Linked DNA regions of Coturnix japonica. Each later gene encodes a partner of the first gene's protein in a complex. Links are inferred from orthologs where the notes say so. Each region holds a gene or a part of one and is shown on either strand. Other genes may lie near its edges.

Region 1 (8,378 bases):
TGTGTGTGCACAGCCTTACACAGCACCGAGCCACCCCGCAGCTGAAGGGCAGAGTGAGCAAAGCACAGCAGAAGGGCTCACACAACAAACCCAGCTGCTGCAGCCAACCAGAGCAGGGACACGGGGCTGTAAGTTACTTTATCTCTGTACGGTCACATGCTGAATTCCAGAGCAATTAATCTCGCAGTCCCTGAATTACAAGATCTCACTCTTAGAACAGTCCTCCCAGCAGAGCTGCTGCCATTACCCGGCTCAGAGAAACGTTTGTGTTCCAGAAACTGCTTCAAGACAGACCGGTGAGATGGAGAGCAGCACGAAGAGCTGCAGCTCTAAGTGCCTGTTTGTAAGTGACTGCAGGAAGACACAAATGTGCTCCACAGAGCACGGGCTGGGATGGAACCTCACACTGACACTCAGCTCAGCACCAGCTGCACACTGATCTCAGTTTCAGCTCATAGCACACCCTCAAGGTCACACCTGCTGCAGTCCTGGCAGTGGCTGAGGAGCTCCTCAATGTACTTACATGAAATACAAACGTCTCGAACTAACGCTTCCAAGAAGCTGGCGTAATGTAAGGACTTCTCATACTGCGTGATTTTCTCTTTTAGTAGCTTGCCAAATTCCGTAAAGTCATCTTTTGAAGAGGGATTCATGGCATCTATTCCACAAGTGTTATTTACACCTGCGAGGGAAGGCACACGGTTACAACGCATTGGCTGCGGGCTCTGAAAGATGACACCAGAGCAAAACCCATTCAGTTGTCCCTGTCTCATCAAGCACCGCCAAACCAAACTTCCTCCAACCCCCGTCCTCTGCAAACAAATCACGGCCACGTTAACAACCCGCAGGGCCACAGACTCACTGTGCTCTGGGCAGTGCTGGCTGCAGAGCCCTCCTTCCTTTAACAGAGAGTTCTAAACGAGTCCCTCTGTGCAGAATCCCCCTGGTTCTTTGCACCCCAGCAGTGCCCTGCAGGCCTGCACACAGCTGACAGCTCTGCCATGGCACAGCACACACTCACCAAACGTTTCTTTTGCTAACTCCAGGTCTGACTCCTCTTGCAATTTCTTTAGTCGTAGTTTGTCTGCTAACTGTTCTTCTGGTGTAAGTTCTTTATGTTCCTCTGGAGCCTCTAACTGCATTTAAAACAAAACGAACACCCGGTAACAGGGGAACATCACACTGAGGGGAGCTTACAAGAAACCACGTTTATTCCAGTGCCATCTGAGAACCTTCTGTGTGAAGTCAGAGCTCCAAGTGTGCACAGCCCCAACAACCATCCCAATTAATCATAACAACGCCAACTGTTTAATTTCTCTGTAATTTAACTGAGTTATGGAAATGACACATCCATTCCTTCAGCACACACACAGTCACAGAATGGCTCAGGTTGGATGGGAGCAAAAGGATCGTGAAGCTCCAACCCCCCCCCACCAACAGGGCCACCAACCTCTGTATCTCAAAGCAGACGGGGCAGCCCAGGGCCCTGAACAGCTCCAGGACCATTGAAGACACAGCTCTCACAAAGGATGCTGTCTGCACTACTGCACTGCCCTGGGAGCACAGGCTGCCCTTCAAAGCTCATTGTCCCAGGGTGGACAATTACCTCTTTCCCCCCTGATCCCCGCAGTGAGACCTGACCCTGGTGTCCCTCCCTTTCCCCTCAGACAGCCCAGACCTTATTATCACCACCAGCCCCATGTGCACAGCACACAGCTGACATTCAATTCAGCCCACCAGCCCAGGATCCCCACAGCTCCTGCTCAGCCCCCACACACAACCCACAACCAACACAGCTCCACATTCCCCAGCCCACAAAGCAACAGGAATTACCCTTTTTTTCAGCTCCTCTTGCTTTTTCTTCTGTTGTTTTTCTTTTTCTTTTATCTTTTCTGCTATTTTCTTTTTTTCTGACACTTTGGGCTCTGTAAATTGAACAAAACAGCTCCTGAGATCCCACAGTGTTTCTGAGTAACCAGGAAAACAGAAATCAAAGAGAGCAGCAGAGCTGAGCTGGCAGCACTGATGGGGGGCAGAGGCCACACTGTGTCAAGGCCCAAACCAGCCCTACAAGGGCAGACAGACAAAAGCAGCGGGAGCTGCACACACTGAGGTCGCTCCTGGTCAGCCTCACCTTGTTTCACCTCCGTCTCCTTGACTTCCTCCTCTTCCTCCTCATCATCCCAGTTATCCTACAAAGGAAGTCTTCATTAAGACACATGTTGATGCTTTTACGTATTTCTACTTGGCAAACGCAGAGGACAGCAGCTTTCATACGGCCTTTTTAAATGCTCTCAAATCCATTCATTTGAGTTAGGAAGTGGGGAGTTGAGCTGTTGGAGCTGTAAAATAAGGGCTCTGACCTGGGAGCTGAGCACAGTGCCGTCAGCTGTGCAGCCCCCTCCCAACAATTAGCTGGGTATCATTAATGGACACGTGTTCTTCCCCTGGTGCCCCTCCAGGTCCCACTGATGCCCTCTGTGTACAGATCAGCGCTTTGTCACAGCCCTGAAGGTACATGTGGCACCACAAGTTAAAGCCAAGAAATGGCCCAGGAATCTACTTTGAGTTACCAGCACGAGTGGAACCTGTAAGCTTAAGAGCTCACCTTTGGCAGGGCCTGGTCTGCACAGAAGCCACGCAGGCCATGCACACGTTATGGGTGAGCTTTACAACCACAATCCCCAGCTGGGCCTCAGAGCAGAAACGTGAGCACTCAGAGCAGCCATTTACCCGGAGGAGGAACGCGGCGTCACAGCGCATCCCCACAGCTCCCCTGGGCCAACCCGCACCTGTGGCAGAGCCGGCTTCCATCCACATTCCAGGAGGCTGACTTGAATCTGCAGCAGCGCTCATTCAGCTCGTATCTAATTAAACCTGTTACACCCATTTCTTAAACAGCCATTCTCAGCACTGCTGTGCTCGGTGCCCAGCCTGCACGGAGGGGTTTAGATCGAGCACACAGAGCAGGAGGGCAGCGAGTACCAACGGGGCTGCAGGAAGCGACCGCCTCCTCCAACAACTGCTGCCTTCAGATGGGAACAACCCGCCCCAAAGCTGCTCCAAGCACCTGTCAGCACTGCAGGAGTGAGTGAGCAGGGGTGAGTGTGCAAGGGGTGAGTGTGCAAGGGGTGAGTGTGCAGCAGCTGCTCCCACCGCTGCAGCTGGAGCAGGAGCTGAGCCCCATCTCTCCTCCTCCAGCACTGACACTGAGCCAGGGCACAGCCTCCAACCAAGAGCTGCCCAGGGATAAATAGAGCGAACCCTGTTGGCACCAGGCCTGTCTGCTGGGCAAGCTGTGCCCGGTAACAGCTGAGAGCAGCTGCGTTACCAATGAAGATGATGATCTGAAACCCGGGGAAGTCAATGTTTCCTGAACTCTGGGGTTACTTTAAGATCAAAACAACTGCAAAACAAACTACAGGATCCGAGTATGTAGGAAACAAAGCAAGAACATGAACACGCAAAACACCGCGCTCACATCTTTCCCTTATATCCATACTCCAAGGCTGACCCTGGCAAACAAGGAGCTCCAGTATCCACCTCCCAGGCTCAGCCCTGAGATCTCCAGCATTTAAACAACGAGCAAATGGAAATGAAACACTCCTATCTGCCATCCAGCCCTCAGCTCCAGGTGCAGCTCTGGTACTAATAGTGTGACCCCGAGAAAGGGGGAGGAAGCCAAACTGCTGCACACGGGGAGCTGCTCCTTTATGACAGCAGAGCTGTCCCTATGAGCACCACCCCACAGAGCAGTTCTCCTGGACACGCTGGATACCAGGAAGGTTCCTCACTTCCAAAGGAAGGCAGAAAAGCAAACTTCACCAGCGCTCTGTATGTGTTCTATATAAACACACACAGGTACGCACACACTGCAGCCAGTGTCACATACGTGCATCCAGTGACGCTGTAACCACGCTGCTCACAGAGATACCCCCACTCACCTTGTGTGCTGTAATGCCACAGCAGTGATAACCACAGGGTGTGGTGTCACTGTGCTTCAGAAGCAGAACAGACAGCTCCTAACTCACACAAGTATCTCTTTATAAAGGGAACGCTCTCACACTGCCCACAGAAGGAATTCCACCCTAAGCTCCAATGGTGCTGGTGGTTCCAATATCCTCCAAACAGCGGCACAGCCCGACCCAGCCGAGCACTGAGCCCTCACCCAGCACCGTGCAGGGCTTCACCCAGCGACCACAACGTGGCGACCAGGCGACACCCCGAGCTGCACCGCTGCGTGTCACAGCCCCGACAGCAGCTGGACCGGCCACAAAACGCTGCTGTGAGCTTCGGCTCCTTCCATCCCGATCCCACCCACACGTGCTGCCCGGCTGCTGTGCACACAGAGCTCCGTGCTGGGAGCACAGCGGGGCCAGGCGGCAGGAGACTCGCTGTAATGCAGCCCCTCGTTGTAATGCAGCCCCTCGCTGTAGTGCATTCACTCGCTGTAGTTCAGTCACTCGCTGTAGCTCAGTCACTCGCTGTATCGCAGCCCGGCTCCATCCTCCCGCCTCCACGTGCTGCAGCGCCTCAAACCCCCCATCCCAGCGCTGCTCCGTCAGCCCGTGGCCGCCATCCCGCCCTGCAGCCCCGCTCGGTTCTGGCAGCACCGTGACACCCCCCGCAGCTCCGGCTCCTCCCCGCCCGGCTCCCCGTACCCGCTCCCGGCCCGACTCCGCTCCCCGTGGCCCAGCGGTACCGGACCGCGCCAGGAGCCGCGTTCGGGCCGTGTCGGCTCCCGGGCCCCACAGCGAACAACACCCGACGGCCAACAGCGCATCACGGCCCGGATCCGATCGGAGCGGCCCGACCCGGCGCTGAGTGTCCCGGCCCGACGCACCTTCACGTCGTCGTCCTCGTCCTCTCCGGCCCAGCGATCTCCGGCCACCCCCGGCACCAACCGCTTCGCCACCGGCTCCACCACCTCGAAGGTGTCGGCGTCTGTGTGGGGGGAAGCAGAAAGGACAGCGGGTGAGCGGAGCGAGGACCGGACGGACCGAACGGATGGAACGGATGGAACGGATGGACCGGGTCCAGGCCGACACCTACCCCAGGAATCCGCCTCGGCCGCCATCTTGCCGCGGGAGCGCGGCGCGAGCTGACTCAGCCGCAGCTCAGCGCACGGCGCGCGGGGCACCATGGGAGCACGGCCCGCCCCTGCGGCCGCCATCTTGGGAGGGATGAGGTGGGGCCGAGCCGCCATCTTGGGAGGGGTGAGGTGACGGCACCGCCGCCATCTTGGGAGGGCTGACAGGCCGCTCCCCCCGGCGGGGCGGGGCCGGGCCGGGCGCCGTGCGGTACAACGGGCCGTGCCGGGGCTGGACGGGCCGTGCCGGGGCTGGACGGGCCGTGCCGGGGCTGTCCCGGCCCGCTGTGCTCGGGTGGGCGGTTCGGTGCTGGGTAGGACGGGGATCACCTCAGGAACACGGGGCAGAAACGCAGCTGAGGCGGCTGGAAGTGCCGGCGTTGGGCCGGGCAGCCCCTGGGCTGCACAGTGGAGCTGGCAGGGCTCAGAGCTACAGACCATCACAGCGTCAACCGGAGTATAAATATTTAATAGAAATCTGTAGGATTCGATATCCTGAAACCACAGCAGAAAAAAACCACAGCTCTGTAGGACGTTGGTTCTCTCCCATTTGTATTTTACAAGGTTCAGCCTATCGGTACAATGACATCTTTGCAAGTATAAAAAAAATAAAGCAAAACAGTATTACATTACACAGTCAAGACAACCCAAATAGTGATGTGCGTAACAGAACCTGTACAAGGCAATCCTTGCCGAGCCTTCCTTGCTTCCAAACAAAGAAGTTGCTTTTTTTTTTTATTAATTTATATAGATCTTTTTGTACAAAATAATGACAACTAGCTAAGAAAACAACGCACCTATGCTACTTCTCATCAGCCATTTAGCAACTTGTGAACCATTCTCTTTAAGCACCCACAACCCAAGGTGCGGATCTGCAGCGACGCGGTGGCTCAGCCCTTAGAGCACAGCCTGACTCTCATCGTTCGATTCCACCTGTCTCAGGTGCTGATAATGATACAGAAGCTCCATGGAGTTGGCTGAGCCACGTGCCTGCTTTGCTGCGCAGACCCAAGTCCTTTCCCCATCAAAATAACCCACACTTGACTTGAAACTCTACTTACAGCGGAAGACGTTATTTTCATGTCATAGCAATCAGTTTCTCGTTGCACTTATTGGAACAAACCTAACAGCCGCGCTGATATCGCACCAGGAGCTGCCTGGTCTTTTCTTTCAATGACAACATGTTGTGAGCGTTTACTTTTTGGCCTCGACTTCCTGAAACCCATTCCATCTGGCCAGACGTACCGGATTCATTGCAACTGTGCAAACATTCATTTGACACTGGAACTTTAGCTTTGTAAAGGTGTGCTCTCCAAGTCCTTAACATGGAAGGCAATGGGAGCACAGGATGGAGAGGAGACAGAGAAGGCACAGATAACTCTCCTAGTTCCCCAGTGTGTTCAGTGCTGATCCAGCCCCCCATTCAGAAGAATGGAACAACACAGGGAATCCTGCAGCCGCAGTTCGGACACCCCAACACTAATGGGGCCTTCCTCGGTTCTTTTGTGAAGTTCCAAGTGCCATCATCTACCTTAATGCCTACACTAACAGGTGCTGGCTGATTCAGGCTGATTAGACAGAGAATAAAGGTAATGATTCGCAATGCAGTGCTATAAGGAAGTCAGAACCAGAAGGAAAAAAAACAAACGGAGGAACGTGGCTCTGCACTTCCACGTCTGGTTATTTGAACAACACGTTTAGTGCTCTGCTTAAAGAAGCGCCTCCTTATAACACACATTCAACTCTTCCTCCGGCAGATGTCTGACCAGGTCGTGAAACATTCAGGTTTTCAGATACATCTGAATAATAACAACAAAAATATTTTCCTACAGAGATGGAAGGAGAAATGAACCAAAGGTGGGAAAGCAGCCAGCAACAGAAGTATGAAATATTGTTGTTTTGCTGCCCAAACGAAAAACACTCAAACCCAGGACAGAATACAGACAAGCACGCACAGTTAGCAAACAGCTGCCATAATCAAAGACCACAAACGAAGCCGTAGACAAAAATGAAACCATTAAGAACTTTGGGAATAGGATGTTCCCTAACCATCCATAAAGTGGGAATAAACGACAGAGCTACAAGATGAACTGCTTAAGCAGCACAGTTCTACATTCAGCCCCAGGTAACGGGCGCAGCTGAGCCTCCCTCGGTTACCAGCGTGCACAACTGGGTCCAGGCTGAAGCCAAAGTGAGGCCTCAGCCTCGAGACCCAGCGATGAAAACCAAAGCTGAAGCAACAGAGCTTTGCTTCACGCACAGACTCGGGTTTTATGGCAGGTTTGACATTTTAGGAAGTTGCGTTTTGAAGGTGGACTCATTCTGCAAAGAAAGTTCAGAATGATAAATATCAGACTTGCAGCGCATTAAAATATTCATATTTAATATGTTCACTAAGCAGTCGCCGTAATTTCCGTTGTGCATCTATGCAGAACTAAACCCTCCAATTTACATTTCCATTTCCCTCACTGATCTGATAATCACAACACAGATACAGCTGTAAAGTGCAATGTATGCTTTGGTTTCCTTAACTAAAGAAAGCACTTTTATAATGGGTTTTGCCACAGATAGGACACACGTGTGCGGGGGCGTTACGTGAACAGACGATCATCTCTTTGTACAGTCAGAGAACAGCCAGGAGTTACTGAACAGAAATGGGATCCTTCTGGTAGCGTAGTGATGTGTAAAGCAGTCCTACGGTGTAAATTACCCAAAGAAATCTGGAAGAACTCCACGTTAAACAAGGATTCGCCGTTAAAACTCATTAAAAATCTCAGATTTACATTTTAACGAACAGCTAAAAAATAGTTGGCAAACCATGTAGCAATTCCAATACAAGCCGACCGTTTCCAAAACGTACAAATATTTCCAGAACCATGTCATCAACATAAAAACGGGGGGCGGGGATGGGTACAGCTCCACACGTCTGCGCAAAAGCATTTATAAAGGTCATGTTATGTACATTTTATTTCAATAAAGACATAAAGACAAACAGTGTAAAGATGCCCGGATGCCCTAAAGATAAATACATTTAAAAGATTCTCATTAAAATGAATCTGTAGTATTTCTTTCCTGCAAGCAAAATACCCTTCTTTAAATACAAAAAACCCCCCCCCAAGAATTGTGGATCGCAAATGTTCTCACTTCTTTTGCAGAAATTCTGCCACGATGATTTCTGTAATGAAGAAGGATTCTCCACAAAGCAGGCTTGCTCTACATGCTAATCTTGTTCACCAGTTCCGTGACACAATGTGCTATAGCTACTTACACAACGGGTCAGATAGTAAGA
Region 2 (7,852 bases), on another chromosome or scaffold:
CATTTCTCATCCTATTGATTTATTCAGAGGTTTTAATTAGCTAAATTCCCATATGTTATAGCTAACTATGTTTTAACTAGTCTTAATATCAAAATATGTGAATTAAACTTCTAGCTTTTGTTCTGTGCTATGAGTAAGCTTACTACCAAGGTTATTTAGCAGATAGTTGCCCAATTGCAGGGGAAAAAAAAGATGTTTTTGCTTACAAGTAATATTTTTTAAAGTGAGGCATTGAAAACATCTACAAACTCTGTAATATATTACTCTGCACTCAGTGTCCTTACCATCTGTTGCAGTGAGCTTTGCAGTGAATGGAGCAATTTTTCAGAGCACTTACGCTCTTCTCCAGGAAAGAAAACAAGGAGTGACCCCTGCACCTTTGACCTGGTTCACTCTCCTGGATCAGTGGGCAGTATTTGCAATAGTATGGGAAACTCACAGCAGCATTCCAGCTTTAGCACACAGGAATGCTGTTCGGTGTAGCGGTATGGGAAGATAAGTGGGAACTGAAAAATAAGCAATAAAAATCATACCTCAGTTACTTTGTTGATTTATAATCAAGGAAAAAAAAACATTGTTGAAAGGAATGGAATCTCGGTTCTTTGGCTTCCTTTATGTTTTAAGTTCAATTAACATGGCAGAAGAGATGGCTTTCCAGACCTCAGAGTTCTTTCCCCCGTGGTTAGCTTGGTAGCAAACAGCTCCTGAAAAGCTTGTTTTATCAAGTCTTTTCCAGTCACATTCTGATTGAAATTTCTTTTTTCTGATGATCAAAATCATCTTGAGCTCTTTGAGGAAGGGCTCTTATCTTTCCATTGGTCAGATAAAGAAAAATTGGTAGGGGCAGCTGGAAAATTGATAGCTGGTGTCGCATGTTTCTAGGTTTTTATATTTGGCAGATGAACTTTGCCAGAGGTAAGTTACTTTCTCTGCTACTCCTGATTCTTGCCATAAAGGTTTGCTGGTTGTTTTCTACATCAGCTTGCTTAATATTCAGCTTTTTCCTAGCTGTGTTGGTATGAAACATGCTGCACATGTGCAAAGCCATCTAAATTTGTTTCATTTCACTATTATGTGGCTATCTGTTCTTCTACACACCAGCATCAGGTGCCGTGACAAGGCATAGGCTGACCTCTTCAATTACAGATAATTCCTGCTTCCCACACTGTCTGAATATTTGCACTGCACATCTGTGACAGCTGGGAGCAGAAAACATCAAAACATCAACCTAGGAGCACAGAACTTCACTCTACAGAGAAGATGTCAAATAGCAGTTCTATGAGGTTTATGATAAATACTTATACAGTCATTGAACTGAAAACATAAAAAACTTTTTTTTTTTTATTGTAGCTTGTGCTGCTACTTAGTTACTTCCATATGAGCGTGGTACCTGCTGATAGCCTTGTGCAGGTTTAGTCCTCTCTTGTGCAACATCTGCCATTACTTTAAGTAGTTAAATGAATAAACTGTGTAACAATAAAGTCTCAAATTGATTTAAGCAAAACTTGGTAGGTCTACTACGCTGCAATTGTATATATGTTTTGACTGGAATACTGTTAATTTTCTTCATGGGGGAAATCTGCTGTATCTCTGCAGTTGACATACTTTAAAGGAAGAATTGAGCTTTACGCTGTAGCTCAGAGAGAACAGTATCTTCCCTTCCTGTCCCCTCAGAAAGTACTTCTGCATAAAGAGGATCCCAAGGATATGTGCACCGAAGCCAGTCTGTGTGCATGCACAGGGAATTTCAGCAAAGCTCACACTCTTATTATCAGATAATGGTTGTATCTACACACAGACGTGGTAGGCCACGTCTAAATACGAAGTATTAAGGAGGCATCAGTGAAATCTGTTATCTGTCTGGACAAACTATCGCAGCTACCATCTTTTGGTAGTTAGTGAGGATGCCATAAAAATAGGTAATAAGTTGTTTTTGATGATGCTTTTTTTCTTGTTCTGTTTTCCTGCTGAGAGCTTTGTAAAGAAGCACCAGAATTTGCTGGCATCACTCGTGGTGAGAACTGATACATAAAAATAAATAGAAATTAATTGACACAGTCTCTTTCTTGTCTGTTTGGAGATGGCTTGCAGTAACATTGAGGTGCTGTTTAAAACATCTGGGTAGACGAGGCTCAGAGTTTACTCCATTTTGTTAGAACGAATGCCTGTTTTCTAAAAGCTGTCTGTCATCGCAGCGCTGGGAGCTACTTGCTTCGAGGCAGTCTGAGTTGCTTGAATTGCTGGCCACTTCCTCAGTTAAATGAGCAGCTCTCACTCTGAACACTTAGAGACAATCTGTGAAAGAAGAAAAGGGAGCTTTTACACAGCTATTTTTCTGACCATAAATATCCTTTAAGATATGCCATTTTACATTTGAAATAAACTTTGCAGTGCTACTTATTCTGCAGTGATTAAATCCAGATGTGCATAAGAGGAGCATTCTAGTGAACCATATAAAGCTGTTCCGAGCTCAGAAAGCTTTTTCCATAACCAGCAGGTAATTTATCAATTTAAGAGAATGAAATGAAGGGTGAAGATAAACATTTTGTAGAACAAGAATTGAAAGAATACATCTAGTTAATTTGTTCTTTCCACTAGAATTAAAATGGATCATCTACATCTTTTCGAGTGTAATTTAATTTGACCTGCAACATCGTGATGGGATTATTTAAACATTTGAATGTGTTGGAACTATTTTTTTAGCTATCCTAAGATGACTTTATTTTTATTCTTCAGTGACACCGCAGCAAAAGTCATGGTGGAACTACTGGGGAGTTACACAGAGGACAATGCTTCCCAGGCTAGAGTTGATGCTCACAGGTAACACCGACTTCCCAGTTTTTAACTGTATTGCAGTATTCTGTTGATTGCTTTATGTTAAAGAGTTTGGAATGGCCTTTTGGCAGGGGCCTTTTTTCTATAGTGTAGCTGACCTGATGAAGAGTTTACAACCTGTGGCAGGTTTGGGTGTTTCTACATTCACTCCACTGTGCAAGCGTTCAGGAATAGTTCTGCTCACTGCTGAACCTTAGTAAAATAGGTTGTTTACATCAGGTATCAGAAGCTGAATTGTCTTCCTGTACTTCAGGGATTTTTTTTACTTGCTGCCTATTTGAATCTTGAACTTTAATGTTCTTTTATTGCTCTTATTTCTAGGAGCAAATACTACTAAGGATATGGAAAAAAATAAAACCACTTGGTGGATATGCTTTACTTACAGGCAAAATTTTGCCTTCTGCCTGCATCACTCTGACAGACTTAGATCTTTAATAAGTTACATAGGTCTACTCTGTGTGTATTAGCTTGTGCATAAGCTTGCAGGAGAACCAGAAGGACTTATTTTGTAAATTAAAACATTTGCATAAGTAAATAAAAACCTCAGTGACTACTGAAAGAACATCCCTGCTTAGAGTTGACCACACTGCTGTGTCAAGGTAGACTTCAGGTTCTTCTGGGTGTGTGTTATGTGGCAGGGTCGCGCTCTAGGCCATCAGCACTAGTGTATAGCACTAACAGACTTCTAATGTGCTGTTGAGCAAATGCTTTCATCTAGAGTTCTAGAAACACTTTAGGACTGTTTATAGTCTGGAGCTGCAACTGATAAATCATAGGTCTTGCAGTGTTTGGTATTGAGGTTTTCTCTGCTTAATGTCACATGTTCAAGTATAATTAATCTTCCTAAACGACTTGATTCTATGAAATTTTAGGAGGACAGTAAAAACACCACAAAGAATGAAGGTTTGGCTGGAAGTAAATGTAATAAATGCACAGTTGGATACAGTAGGTTCATCTGCAGTCCTACCACCTGGCAAATCTTAATTGTGATATGGGGCAAAGCACTGAGCACTTGCTCTTGTTTTTTTCCATTTGTGAAACAAAGATTAAAGTTACTTAGGAATGTGACATGCCTTATATTTAAGTGTAGTTAAAAACGCTGGAATATCTCCTAGAAAGCAAAGAAAAACAAATGGGGTTGCATCTGAAATGTGTATTGCTGTAAAAATAATCATTTCTCTTTTTTAATTAGATGTATTGTACGAGCATTGAAAGACCCAAATACCTTTCTCTTTGACCATCTTCTTGCCTTAAAGCCAGTCAAATTTTTGGAGGGCGAACTTATTCATGATGTGAGTAGCTTTCTTATTAGCAAGCTGGTTTTATATCTTACCAAGTCCTTGCCTTATTAATGTCTTTAGAAGGTCATTGGAATAGTGGGCTGTGTCATTAATCTCAAGTTGCAATGTACGAGTTTGTTTTTTTTTTAAATGGTCTTAGCATCAGAAAATTAAAATTTTACATGTAAATGTATAGTAGAAAGTTCCCCTCTAGAAGCTTCAGAAAATCAGTTACAAGTTGCACCTTCACTGTAAATTCTTTTGGCAAAACTGCCTTTCTGATCTGAGAAAATAATCACAGCACAGATTGCCCTTGGCTTTCAGCAGGAGACTTTAAGAACTGTAAACTTATTGTTTTGGGGATTGTTTATTTGTTGGTTTGTTGGTTTTTTTTTCCACTATGAATAGAAATTGCAGTGTTTCATGTGTCTGTGCTTTCTCCAAAGAGGGGAAACAGAAAATCTTTCAACTGTTCTTACATTTGTTTTCCATCTTCCAGCTTTTGACAATTTTTGTAAGCGCTAAACTAGTATCCTATGTCAAGTTTTATCAGAACAACAAAGACTTCATTGACTCACTTGGTAAGTTTTCAAGTCGTTATGTTTCTGTCATGGCTTATGATAATGGAACCGACAAAGGACTTCAGTTCCAACCCAAATACCAAAAGACAATTTTAATAGTGATTTTTTTCTTGGTGTCATTTTTTTTTCCTAAACAGTGGATTAGACTTGAAATGGACTGTCTACGTGTGGTTTGTAATCTATGCTAGGACAAACTATTTTGAGGGTTTCAAGTAGGAATCTGTTTTTCTCTGCTTCGTTCATTTAAACCCTTTTGGAGGGGATATTTAGTGCATTGGTACATCAGGCTGGGTCGGAGATGACAACTTCAATAAGTGAGACAGCAGCTTGTATAAAACTCTTAGTGAGCATTTTAAAAAACACTAACTTCATAACAGCAAATACTTCAAATACTTCCCCTGAACAGTAAGGTAAAACATGCAGACTAGCGTACGTGTGTGTGCATGTGCTGATGCATTAGACCTAGCAAGTCACAGTCTGTCCCAGTTAATTTGTTTCATCACATGAAGCAATGTGATGGAATGTTAATGTCAGCACCCTCTTTATTTACACACTGTGGAAAAAAGGAGTAGTAATTAACACTTTGACACTCCCCCGTGGATGTGTAATTGACTGTTTCAAAGGAGCACTGGTTCATAAGCTATTGCATGCATTAAAATTACGTTTTTTATATTCCAGCTTTTTAGGACAGGGGTCAGTGACAATGCAGAAATTGCTCAATGATGCAGGTTTTTTTATTACTGCATTAAGGTTTTGACATATTAGTAATGAATAAATGTTTCCATAAAAATCTGATTATTATTTTTTTTATAACTTTGATTTTGAAATGACACTTGAACACAAAGTGAATGCATTTGAATAAAGGCACAGTTGTACAAAAAACTGAGTTTAGTGCAGCCTTTTAACATAGGCATTATTTTTTTTAATGAAGCGTGGTCTAATTCTGAGAATAATTATGCTCAGAGCTTAAAAATGCTGGTATTCTGAGTACTAAAATGATAGTTTTTGGGGTTTTTAAGATAAAAATCAGTAAGTTTTCAGTAGTTTGTAACTGTGTGTATAGGATAGTGTTATCTTTTGTCTTTTTATCTGAACATTAACTATAAGGATGTTTCATACTTTCTAAGAGGAGAGGGGTTGTTTTTTTATATATATACATATATATATATAGAAATTACTTTTATGTGTTGAAATGGTTTATCTGTTCAGTACTTACCCATGGAAGTATTTGATGAAAACACAGTTATATCTGTACGTCATACAATAATCACGATTTATTTTTCTTTGCCTTCCTGTGTCTGTGTTTAATTCCATGAATACAAGGTCTACATCTTTTCAATAAGTCTGGTATTCAGGTTATACTAGTAAAATCCTTAAGTATATGTATAGCTGTTTTGTAAAACAACCTTCCCCTTACCTTGATTTCTCACCTTTATGGCACACTCAGAGAGTTTTGATTGTCTTTCAGCTATGAAGGAGGTAGAGATTCTGAAGTAGTTCAAACTGGAATGCTTGGAACTTGTTCTACGTCTTTCACCTATGCCTTAAAAAAGAAAAAAGGCAGATCAGTATAGAAAACAGTATGATTGTTAGAGGAGGCATTCAACAATTCTCTGAAACACCTGGATCTCTTCCCCAAAACAAGTGTTTTTAATCATTCTCTTCCTCAACATTTTCTCAAGTATTGAGCTTCAAAATAAAAAAGGATGTTGTTGATTTTGCAACAGATCTAAAATACTATTAGCTTTACTTGGATCAGAACCAATTACAATTAGTCCAAGAAAGATGTGCAATGAAGGCTCCTACAGGTGGCATCAGTTTGTTACAATTTGTTGTTTTATTAATGCTGACAACTTGGGCCAGCAGTAGCATTATCTGTGTCAACTGAATCGCCCTAACATGGCCACATTTAATCTGGTATCATCAGCAGCCTTTTTCAGAAAGTTAATCAGCATCTCATTTGCATTTGTTAATTAGGGTTAATGTACGCTAATTGATTTTTTGATGCTTGTAGATTTCCATTAAACTTGGTTAGGTATATTTTCTGATGCTTCTCATCCATATGAGTTATAGTGATCACATTTTTGTTGAATTGGTGCCAAATAGGGAGCCTGCATCATAATTACAGCTAATTAACACAACATGATGTCCTCTGCTAATGTGCTTTCCTATTGGAGTATGGATGTTATAAATTCCAAACTTAAATATTTACTGAAGCCATGTGGATGCTTATAATGTCATTCCGAAACCAAATGATTGCCATTCATCTTAAAGGAACTTCCAGTGAAGCTTAGTTGGTGCCCTGGAGAACTTGATAAAGAAAGGCTTTGGCTTATCCAGGTGCAGCTCTGTTCGCCTGCACTTTTACAGGAGTGAGAACTCAGATTTCCATGTGCCAAGCTCAAAGTTCAGTTCTTTGTGTTGCCATTCATGCTACCCTGCAAAAGATCTGACACATCTTAGCATCTCTTTACATGTACTTGAAGAACACTTGCTGCAGAACCATTACAGTTTTTTTAAGCACCTACCTGAGAATGAGCAGTGAGGCTGGAGGAAGGCTTTGACATCACCAGTTATTTTTCTTGCATTGCATGGCTCTGTTTCCTGTTGATCCAACTAAAAACATCACTTGTGCTCTTACCACCCGAGTTCTGTAAAGATGATGTCCTTAGTGGTTCAAAAAATCTCCACTCTCCTCTTTTTGGATGTTCATTTTCATGATGAATTAATAACTAAACCAGGTGTTTTTAGCAGAACACGAGGAGGATGCAGAAATAAATATTACCTCAAAAAACATTGATAAAGCCAGATAGGGTGTTTTCATTATGTGAAATTCTAAATTACTGCAAGGATATATAGTAAAAACCATGAAAAGCAAATTAGATATTATTGAATTAATATCCATAAACTGTCAATACTTTTCACACAGGCTTGTTGCATGAACAGAATATGGCAAAAATGAGGCTACTTACTTTTATGGGTATGGCTGTAGAGAATAAAGAAATATCATTTGACACAATGCAACAGGAACTTCAGATTGGAGCTGATGATGTAGAAGCATTTGTTATTGATGGTAAGAACTGTAACAAAGTACTTTATACAATGCTAATTAACTATACCTTATATAATCTTCTGAGTTAATATTAAATATTGAAA

The links.
Region 2: EIF3J (region 1) and EIF3M share a complex: the UniProt entries of both Homo sapiens proteins name them as parts of the eukaryotic translation initiation factor 3 (eIF-3) complex. The link is inferred for Coturnix japonica from reciprocal best matches to the Homo sapiens genes EIF3J and EIF3M.

Annotation. Positions count from the first base shown.
Region 1 is NC_029525.1:17,933,584-17,941,961, forward strand, and holds the start of EIF3J (eukaryotic translation initiation factor 3 subunit J), read right to left. Parts: upstream 5,222-8,378; 5' UTR 5,207-5,221; coding exon 5,053-5,206; intron 4,945-5,052; coding exon 4,844-4,944; intron 2,193-4,843; coding exon 2,135-2,192; intron 1,926-2,134; coding exon 1,834-1,925; intron 1,137-1,833; coding exon 1,022-1,136; intron 683-1,021; coding exon 524-682; intron 1-523. UniProt on the Homo sapiens protein: Component of the eukaryotic translation initiation factor 3 (eIF-3) complex, which is required for several steps in the initiation of protein synthesis.
Region 2 is NC_029520.1:4,352,592-4,360,443, reverse strand, and holds part of EIF3M (eukaryotic translation initiation factor 3 subunit M), read left to right. Parts: intron 1-2,736; coding exon 2,737-2,820; intron 2,821-4,027; coding exon 4,028-4,127; intron 4,128-4,614; coding exon 4,615-4,696; exon of another isoform or gene 4,697-7,625; coding exon 7,626-7,769; exon of another isoform or gene 7,770-7,852. UniProt on the Homo sapiens protein: Component of the eukaryotic translation initiation factor 3 (eIF-3) complex, which is required for several steps in the initiation of protein synthesis.